Linked DNA regions of Saccharomyces cerevisiae S288C. Each later gene encodes a partner of the first gene's protein in a complex. Each region holds a gene or a part of one and is shown on either strand. Other genes may lie near its edges. A codon is read from its position in the direction of its gene.

The links.
Region 2: LSM8 (region 1) and LSM6 share a complex: the UniProt entries of both Saccharomyces cerevisiae proteins name them as parts of the spliceosome U4/U6-U5 tri-snRNP complex.
Region 3: the proteins of LSM8 (region 1) and LSM2 are in contact, whole or in part, in a crystal structure (PDB 4M78), measured with the Saccharomyces cerevisiae proteins. Residues at the interface, in NP_012556.2 of Saccharomyces cerevisiae: Met1 (codon at 2,153), Ser2 (codon at 2,156), Ala3 (codon at 2,159), Thr4 (codon at 2,162), Leu5 (codon at 2,165), Asp7 (codon at 2,171), Tyr8 (codon at 2,174), Ile16 (codon at 2,198), Val18 (codon at 2,204), Asp19 (codon at 2,207), Gly20 (codon at 2,210), Lys32 (codon at 2,246), Asn33 (codon at 2,249), Thr34 (codon at 2,252), Arg44 (codon at 2,282), Gly58 (codon at 2,324), Ser59 (codon at 2,327), Glu60 (codon at 2,330), Ile61 (codon at 2,333), Ala62 (codon at 2,336), Leu63 (codon at 2,339), Val64 (codon at 2,342), Gly65 (codon at 2,345), Leu66 (codon at 2,348), Ile67 (codon at 2,351); in NP_009527.1 of Saccharomyces cerevisiae: Phe4 (codon at 978), Lys8 (codon at 966), Val11 (codon at 957), Leu19 (codon at 805), Asn21 (codon at 799), Ile23 (codon at 793), Ile25 (codon at 787), Ser31 (codon at 769), Val32 (codon at 766), Asp33 (codon at 763), Phe35 (codon at 757), Lys39 (codon at 745), His53 (codon at 703), Leu54 (codon at 700), Gly55 (codon at 697), Ser56 (codon at 694), Val57 (codon at 691), Arg58 (codon at 688), Asn59 (codon at 685), Ile60 (codon at 682), Phe61 (codon at 679), Ile62 (codon at 676), Arg63 (codon at 673), Thr66 (codon at 664).

Annotation. Positions count from the first base shown.
Region 1 is NC_001142.9:467,632-470,621, forward strand, and holds LSM8 (U4/U6-U5 snRNP complex subunit LSM8), read left to right. Parts: upstream 1-2,152; coding exon 2,153-2,482; downstream 2,483-2,990. Other genes in the region: TES1 (palmitoyl-CoA hydrolase), read right to left, coding at 1-650; REC107 (Rec107p), read right to left, coding at 924-1,552, 1,633-1,948; methylthioribulose 1-phosphate dehydratase MDE1, read right to left, coding at 2,599-2,990. UniProt on the Saccharomyces cerevisiae protein: Component of the nuclear LSM2-LSM8 complex, which is involved in spliceosome assembly. The LSM2-LSM8 complex plays a role in the biogenesis of the spliceosomal U4/U6-U5 tri-snRNP complex by accelerating PRP24-mediated annealing of U4/U6 di-snRNA.
Region 2 is NC_001136.10:1,228,849-1,231,769, reverse strand, and holds LSM6 (U4/U6-U5 snRNP complex subunit LSM6), read left to right. Parts: upstream 1-2,160; coding exon 2,161-2,421; downstream 2,422-2,921. Other genes in the region: GTPase-activating protein RGA2, read right to left, coding at 1-1,603; ATP17 (F1F0 ATP synthase subunit f), read right to left, coding at 2,854-2,921. UniProt on the Saccharomyces cerevisiae protein: Component of LSm protein complexes, which are involved in RNA processing and may function in a chaperone-like manner. Component of the cytoplasmic LSM1-LSM7 complex which is involved in mRNA degradation by activating the decapping step.
Region 3 is NC_001134.8:168,534-171,609, reverse strand, and holds LSM2 (Sm-like protein LSM2), read right to left. Parts: upstream 988-3,076; coding exon 934-987; intron 806-933; coding exon 572-805; downstream 1-571. Other genes in the region: RRN10 (Rrn10p), read right to left, coding at 1-129; 60S ribosomal protein eL19 RPL19B, read right to left, coding at 2,234-2,801. UniProt on the Saccharomyces cerevisiae protein: Component of LSm protein complexes, which are involved in RNA processing and may function in a chaperone-like manner. Component of the cytoplasmic LSM1-LSM7 complex which is involved in mRNA degradation by activating the decapping step.

The DNA.
Region 1 (2,990 bases):
ATGGGAGGTCTCACTTTGACGAAATAATCCAGCTCGTCGGTGTGTCTTGCCGAGTAGAACATGTCCTTGGGGAATTGGTACTCCATGACTCCGTATTGAAACGCATCCACATACTTGCTCATCGAGGTTGCGTCTTGGAACCTGTCGGACAATGAGGCATACCTGCTCAATTTCTGTGGGTCCAGAACTTCTTTCTGGAAAAGCGAAGTGGCCTCTTCATAACGATGAGGGTCTGGCTGCTTACCTTGCAGGCCTGGAATCGTCTCCCAGTGCTGCAAGGAGTCGTGCTCCTTGGACCGTTGCACGGCAAATAAGATCATCGACGTAAATATCAACTTGTCGTGCTGATAAGCACTAACCTGCTTATGGATGAAATTTCTACCGTTTCTCAGATTCTGCACATGGTACGTGATCTTGGTCCGCGGATCACCACCCTTGATGAAATACGAATGTAGCGATGTGGGGAAGAAGTTCAATGGCACAGTATGCAATGACGCCAGCAGCGATTGTGATACCAGCGTTCCACCAAAAGTGCCCTTAGACCCTACGGGCGCGGCAGGCAGATACTTTGTGACAAAACTGGTAGGCGAAAGAGGAACCAGTTCCAATATTTTCTCTAGGTTGGACATGGCCATTTTGGAAGCACTCATTTTTATGCAATCTTGTCTTATCTTGTCTTGCTCATGGTGGATACTGAATTGAAACCCTTTTCTGGTTTATATCCAACTGGCGTGGTTTTTCATTGTAGGATGAGGCTCGGTGTTTATGCCGTCTCTTCCGAGGATGCAATCAAAGGCTCTCTCCTTTGTTGGGGTAGTAGCAAGTCCAATAAGCAACGCTTGTTTGTTGATTGGGCCGATTTACATAGCCTATACACTGCTGTTACATATGCCTGTGTAGAATGAAAAAGCAGGACGCCCGTTTCACAGCTCAGATTCCAGAGTGTCGGGTCTTAGTTCCTCCCAGGGAATAATGGTCCTGGCCGCACGCTTCAGCCGATGGCTAGCGTCATCATTGTCTTCGCTATTGTGGTTTTGGCTGGTGGATAGGGTTGGGGAGCTGGATCTTCTGCGTTTCATGGACCTTGTGACCATCATTCTTGGTGGCGGCACGGACTTCTTACGCTGCTTATCGTGGGCTTCGTCCATATCGTGCAGGAGTGTGGTGCCATTCAGAGACACATCCGGGCGATCGTAGGCGTGATCTGCCTTTTCTCGAAACGCCATCTCTAGAGCAGTCTGGCGGGTTTGTAGACTGTGCATGTCTTTGGATAGAGACAGGAGCACTTTATGCACGTCCTCCAGTTGGCTGCCGACGTTGAAGAGCATCTCCTGGGTGCACCTCATCGACTTTTCCGTCTCATGCTGCTTGTTAGTTACGTGTCGCGTTATCTTGGAATTATACCTGCTTATTTCTTCGACTAATACCTGCCTGTAGCTGGAATCCGACTTTGTCTTCTTCTCGTCGCCTTTCGATAACATTGCTGTTGACACTTTGTCCAGTTGGTTTTCAATCTGGGAAGCCAAATCCTTTATTAAGGTTTTCACGTTTCCTATACTACAGTTGTTAGTAAATGTGTTTTGGAAGAAAATGAATAAAAAACTTGAGGGTATGCACTGTGTTGGTACGAACCGTTCGTAGCAGCATCTTGTTCCAGTAGCTGGTTAAACTTGTTTAGCGATTTACATAATGTCTTAGAATTTTCATTTAAAACTTTAATTAGCTTGTCAGAGTTTTCCCTCAGCTCCATACTCTCCAATTCCAGTTTACCTGCCCATTCCAGTATCTGCTTGTCCGATTCCTCTAAAGCGCCTGCATTCGCTACTTTCCCACTGTGGGAGAATATAGATCTGAACGGTGATGATGTTTCTGTAATCATCAACGAGTGTTCAGAATTAGCCTCTGAAACATCTGTAGATATCTCGTCTGTTCTACCTCTAGCGACCATTTTACTAAATGTTTCTACACGTCTGCAGTATCCTTGTTTTGCTTGTTTTCCTTCTTTCTGTTCTTGTTGATTTTCCCTTTAAGTCCTGAAAATACTATCATGGCGTAAAGGGAAAAAAAAAAACTAATCTTACGTGGTTCTTATAAGATGGACCAGCAAGCTGCATACAGTACACCATACAAGAAGAACACACTATCGTGCACCATGTCAGCCACCTTGAAAGACTACTTAAATAAAAGAGTTGTTATAATCAAAGTTGACGGCGAATGCCTCATAGCAAGCCTAAACGGCTTCGACAAAAATACTAATCTATTCATAACCAATGTTTTCAACCGCATAAGCAAGGAATTCATCTGCAAGGCACAGTTACTTCGAGGCAGCGAGATTGCTCTTGTTGGCCTCATAGATGCAGAAAATGATGACAGTCTAGCTCCTATAGACGAAAAGAAGGTCCCAATGCTAAAGGACACCAAGAATAAAATCGAAAATGAGCATGTAATATGGGAAAAAGTGTACGAATCAAAGACAAAATAATATAGTTGCAATAATAGTAATAATAATAATAATAATAATAATAATAATAATAATAATAATAATAATACCATGTATAGAAGTATATAAATCATACAATAAATTTAAGCATTAACCCGTCACGGACTGGCCATCTTCAGATGCTTCTTCTCTTCGCCAATGCCACAGTCGGGAGGAATCCCCATTTGGTACATCTTTATGGCCAGCTCCATCAAATAATCGATGGCTTCGTTGAAAATTTTGGCCTTATCGATTGTCGGACCCCAAACAAAAATGCCATGTCTCCTCACAATTACGGCGCATGTGTCTGGATAATCTTTAAAAGTCTTGTGCAAGTCATCGATCAACTCGTCCTCATGCGCCATGTTTTCAATGATGGGAATCTTCAGCGTATCAAAAAACGATAGCGCCATGGGTTTCTTGGTCACAGGGTCCACCTTTCCGCTTGGAATTGCTTTGATTTGTTCGATGTTAGCAATCCTGAACTCATCGCCAAATAGCAAGGAGCATA
Region 2 (2,921 bases), on another chromosome or scaffold:
TAGAATTTTGCTTTTTGGATATACTGCCAAGGCTGCTTTGCGCTTTTTTGTGATTAAACTCCGGTACTGTAAAATTTCCATGTTGTGGTAGAGTATTGTATATTGTACTGTCACTTTGGCCTCTTGATACAGGATTTTTTTTGGCTTTTGATTTTCTTATATTTGTATGAGTAGAGGAAACACCCCAGCCAGAATGAGTGTCTGATTCCTGTATAGAAGTGCTGTGATGGGGATGCTTTGGGTCCAGCATTTCCGAAGTTTTACTTTTCAGGTTGTGAACAAAATTTTTGGACTTCAAAGAAAACGATCTTGAAAGTTTTTTGTTTGGAGAGGGTGCTACTTTTTTATGCGGCAATAAGTTATCTGCTGTTTGAGGCCTGCTGAAACTTCCATTATCAGACAAACGTAATGTCGATGAAGAGGTTGATGTTTTCATTTCTACGGTATCGGTTCTTGTAATCGGGGAGACATGATTCATAGATTTGGAAGTTGACGTTTGAATACCTTGAGATGATTTGTTATTTTCTTTCGTAGCTTCTGATAAAGTTAATGCCAGTCCATGCGGAGGTTCGACCTCTTCGTTCATTTGTACAGCCATAGGGCTGTTCAAAGGACTTGTAATTTTATCAGTGCTATTTCTGGGTGTGTTGACGATGATTTCATTCTCTTTGTTGTCTGTATCATCTTTGTCTGTCTCTTCTTTATCATAAATTGAAAAGAATCTATTCGCGTTCGAGTTCGAATTTGGGATCCTCGGATCCTTTACCACTATGGAATCTCGATTTGCTCTTTGTGGTTTTAATAGCCTATAGGTTACGTCTTCACCCATTTTGTTGATGTAGTCCTCATTATCCACCAAACTCTGCTCTTCAATGCTATTACTATCGTGTTCCAAAGTAGAGTTCAGAATGTCGTCAATAGAAACCGTCCTTGCGTGAGAAGATGTTTCCTCCCTGTCCTTGCTGTTATCATTATCATTATTGTCATTCAACGATGATTCATCTCTTTCTTGTGATACTAAAACTTGTGGAGTGAGCTGTTGATCCTCATTCGAGCTTACAAGGTTCTTACTTATTGCGGTGTTGTTTGTACTGACATCTGACTTACCATTTATTCTGGTGGGTGACAAGGGCCTTTTGACTGATCTTTCAGGAAGTTTTATGGGAAAATCTTCTTTCGATGAATTTTTTGTTTGATTTTCCAGTAATAGTTGTTTTTTTCTCAACAATTTCTCGTGACAATCCATACAACATAGTCCTCGTTTTGTCTTTGCATACTTTAAGTTCTTTATACGGTTGCTGCACCGACAGCATCTGAAACAATTGGAACAATAGGCCTCATTTGAGGAAGGCAGTATAATTGCTGTGTCGTCTATTTTATCGCCACAATTTGTACATTTATCTGAGCAGTCGTAACAAATTAATGTACCTATATCCAGAACCAAAAAGTCTGAATCTGCGTTCAATTTTTTGTCACATTTGTAGCATGTAAAGCACTGGTCATGCCATTTTTTGCTTTCTAATTCGTATACCTGGCTAGACGCGATTGATTTATTGCACCTCACACATAAAGACGATTGGTCATTAATAGGGTCAGCTGACATATTTTTTTCATCAAAATCTCCTTGCTCTTGAGATGCTACGTTATATTTCACTTTATTAAAAGTACAATGAACTCTTGGTAATAAAAGATAAGGATTAGAAACGCCAAGTATGCAAAGATGAAATGTTAATCAATAGGGGAGTCGACTGATCGATCTTCTGGCTAACATTCTCCAAGGAATGCCAATTTTCATATCTCGACCTGATACTGTTTACCCGAATGGGAAACTAAATTGACGTGCATTATCATTACAATTAAAAGTTACTGAAGCGATGCAACGATTTAAGCACAATTGAAGCGGCATAAATCGAATATCACTGTGGCTAATTAACTGGGTTATGTGTAGGAAATAAATGTTATTACGACTATAGGCCTTTCTTTTAGCCGTTTAATGTAAGATATTTCTATTATTAAAACATTTTACCCGGGGGCAGCTGTTCGTGTACAATGCCAAATAAGCAACGTCGCAGCAACCCATTCAATAATGCACAAGACGCCATATTAACGAGAAAATATGGCATTGCACAGTATAAGCAAAACAAGCAGAGATTATTAGTGATGTCCGGAAAAGCTTCTACAGAGGGTAGCGTTACTACGGAGTTTCTCTCTGATATCATTGGTAAGACAGTGAACGTCAAACTTGCCTCGGGTTTACTCTACAGCGGAAGATTGGAATCCATTGATGGTTTTATGAATGTTGCACTATCGAGTGCCACTGAACACTACGAGAGTAATAACAATAAGCTTCTAAATAAGTTCAATAGTGATGTCTTTTTGAGGGGCACGCAGGTCATGTATATCAGTGAACAAAAAATATAGACTTATCTCCTCTAATGGATTAATATGTAGGAATGAGCAAGTTGGTTTGACATAAAGTTGCATTTGCGAGTTTAGCACGGATACACACAAACACACCCATATCTATATACATATATATATATATGTGTGTGTGTATATCGAATAGGATCGAACAGTTTTATTTTAATGAATTTTTATGAATATATATTGTAAAGTTTACTCTCCGTCTCATTATTTTTATGCTTTACTAAAGAAAAAATGAATAGAGCCAGAAAGTGACGGAGTTTCCTTATAGACATATGAAAACAACGAAATTTTGTTCTATCACTTATGTACTCCTTTCAATTTCGCTCAAAAATTATTTGGATTTACCAAAAAGTTTTTCTTCTCTTTGCATGTTTGGTTTAAAAAGGCTTAAAATAAAGAATTTTCTACAAAAGTAAAACTCCACGTTCAATGCTCTTCCGCACCTTTATGATGTCTCAAATGAAAATAATATTCCATGGAATAGCCAAAGGCAA
Region 3 (3,076 bases), on another chromosome or scaffold:
CTCCCTTGTTTTGAACGGTATAGGAACAGCATTATCTATTTTTTCTGCGAGTACTTCATCGGCGCTCACTACATGTGTTCCAAATTCCTTAATTATATTGCTGCAGGCTTCATATACATTTCTATCCATTTTCTTAGTGGGAGAGATTTAGGTTAACGTTCGAAATATAGTGCTTATGAATTTTTGTAGCGTGATATACTTCTTTAAAAACATTTACTTTTTTATTGGAGTGTTGATCTGCATTTCATGACATTCGCTTTTCCATCAAGCGCATTTAGTAAAACAAAACAAAACCTCATAATGAATTTCTTGGGATAAAATGGGGCAAAAAAAAAGAATTCCTCATCAGTCTACGTAGCTTACGCTCTGGCCAAAAAAATTTTGGATGACCACTTGACAGATATCACACCAAGTTATTTCTCCTAACGCTCGGAACCGGATAATTAATACAAACCGTTGAATCATCTTATGGCCTACATATATACATATACATATAATCTCAATATCCTAAAATGATACTCGTGTAAAAAACTAATGAGAAAAAATGCCATGAGGATAGACTGCATAATTCTTATTTTCTTTCAGTCATTACCTCCCTTCTGGTAGCGTCTTGTAGCAAATTCGTATCTACCATGTTCTTATTCAAGTAAACGTACCTGACTGTTGAACCTCTTATAAAAATATTCCTTACGGAACCCAAGTGTGGATATTTTTTTTCATCTGTGCATGATATGTTGTCTAGTTTCAGATTCAAAAATTGGTCAACTGATTGTAGTGTACCTTTTATTTCAATGTCGTTTTTTAACTGAGTGGAAACACAATAAACAGGGGTAAACAAACGTTAGTACTTGACTTTTTTCAAAAATTGATGTACGATACCCGTTAGTTTTCTTGTATCAAAGGGAATTCCGATGTAAATCATTATGAACATACCTCTACGACCACTTCTTGGTCAACTAAAGTCTTGAAAAAGGAGAAGAAAAGCATACTTGCTAGGGTGTTATCAGCGTGAGATATGTGTTCGAAAGTATTGTATTCTTTTATTGAATTCTGGATTTGTTTTCCTTATATGCCGTACTATAATTAAAGTTGCTCTGTTTTCGGTTTTATTTTTTTTGGTTCAAAACTTCCTCATTGCCTGGATTTGAAAAATGAACAACGACAATGATACAATTACAACAGCGGAAAAAAGTTTCCCGTACAAAGGATCCCTAAGTAGTTTCTTCCAACTAGTTAGGCCTCAGCCTCTATCCAAAGTAGCTATTTTTATCATTGCAGAAAACTGGTGTTTAAAACTTATTTAAAAGTAGCTTTTCTGCCGAGATGACAATATAGAGGAGAGAATAATCAGTTTTATATTTAGTGAACATATGGGCAATTCCAGTGAACGCTTAAAAGCTGGGCAAAGAAATATATAAATTTAAAGATATAATGACAAGATAGCTCAAAATAACCGGAGAGTAAAAAAAGAAATCGTAGCAAAGCACTTCGATGCTGTTTTTGGTCTTCATCAAATCTTTTCCTGCCACACAGTATTGTTTATGCCTATCTTTCTTAAAGGTACGATAAAAAGGTCACCTTTCGCTTTGATAGTGAAGCCGAACTTTTGCAAATCCAGAATAATTTTGCAAATCCAGAATAATTTTGCAGTAAAAGGATGTAGATAAGCTATCATAAACTGGTAGTGTATTAGTGAAAATTCTTGCCCCTGAAACAAGCAATACTAGTAATATCATACAATGCAGAGGGTGAGAATCGGCCAGTGGGTATACGACATGGAAGCGATACACAGGAGTGATAGTCATGAGTGTCCTAAGCGTACATGTGGCAACCAAACTCTCAATCCTGGCAGTATCATCAAAGAAATTCAGTACAAAAAATATCGTTACATCTTATTTCCCCCTATAGCAGCAAATCAATTCACTCCTGGGTGTTCTGAATATATACCAATTTTACACGATGCCATAAAGGACTAGACAAGCTACGTTGAAACAAGAACCCGCCTCCTTTCAGAACTCACTTACGGTACATTAGCGATGACTACGACTTCATTACTCTTTTTTTCAGAAAATTTTAATCAATATTCATTTATTCTACGAACAGTCTCCTTCACCTTAGTTTCTTTCTCTGCTCCTTTGAAACTATTATTGTATTTGGTACATTTTAGAGAAAATAAAACATATATAGAACAATGAGAAGGTACGTAATTTCTTAGCTAATTATTTGTAATCAATTAAGCGTCTTCCTTTAGCAAAGCGTCTCTCTTTTCAGCAACTCTTTGAGCTCTTCTGTCACGAGCAGCTCTGTTCTTCAATCTTCTAGCTTCAGCTTCTTCGTTCAAAGCCTTTTCACGTTGAGCATCAGCCTTAGCTTGAATAATGTGTTCAACCAAAGCTCTCTTGTGCTTGAAGGCGTTACCCTTGGATTCCTTGTACAAAACGTGGTACAAATGCTTGTCAATCTTACCAGCGTCACGGTACTTGGCCAATAATCTTCTCAAGACACGTAATCTTCTGATCCAGACGACTTGGGATGGTAAACGAGCTTCTCTAGTACCCTTTCTCTTACCGTAACCACTGTGACGACCTTCTCTCTTGGATTGAGCATGGGCTCTAGTTCTAGATTTAGAGTGGACAGTAACGGCCTTCTTGACGATGGTTCCGTTCTTGACCAATTTTCTAATGGCATTTCTAGAGTTGGCTTGGGCAATTTCAGAAGTTTCGTTTGGGTCTAACCAAACCTTTCTCTTACCAACACCGACAACAGAAGCGGCAAGTCTCTTTTGAGTACGCAAGTTAGCCCTGTGAAAAAAAGTTTTTGCAGATTTATTTGCATATTGATGTTAGTAAAGTTGCTTCATTTTTAAAATCCTGAAACCTAACAGTAAAGAGCATATTCGCAAAGGTTAATGAATTACTTTATCTATCAATCGAATTAACGCTTGCAGGAACAGACACGTACCATTGCTGCGATAATTCTATAGTTTGTAATAAACGCGGCAATTCGTACAAGCTTGAAATTTATCTGAGGTTCTTCTATGGATGTTGCTACCAACTATGCGACCACCGGATGCTGT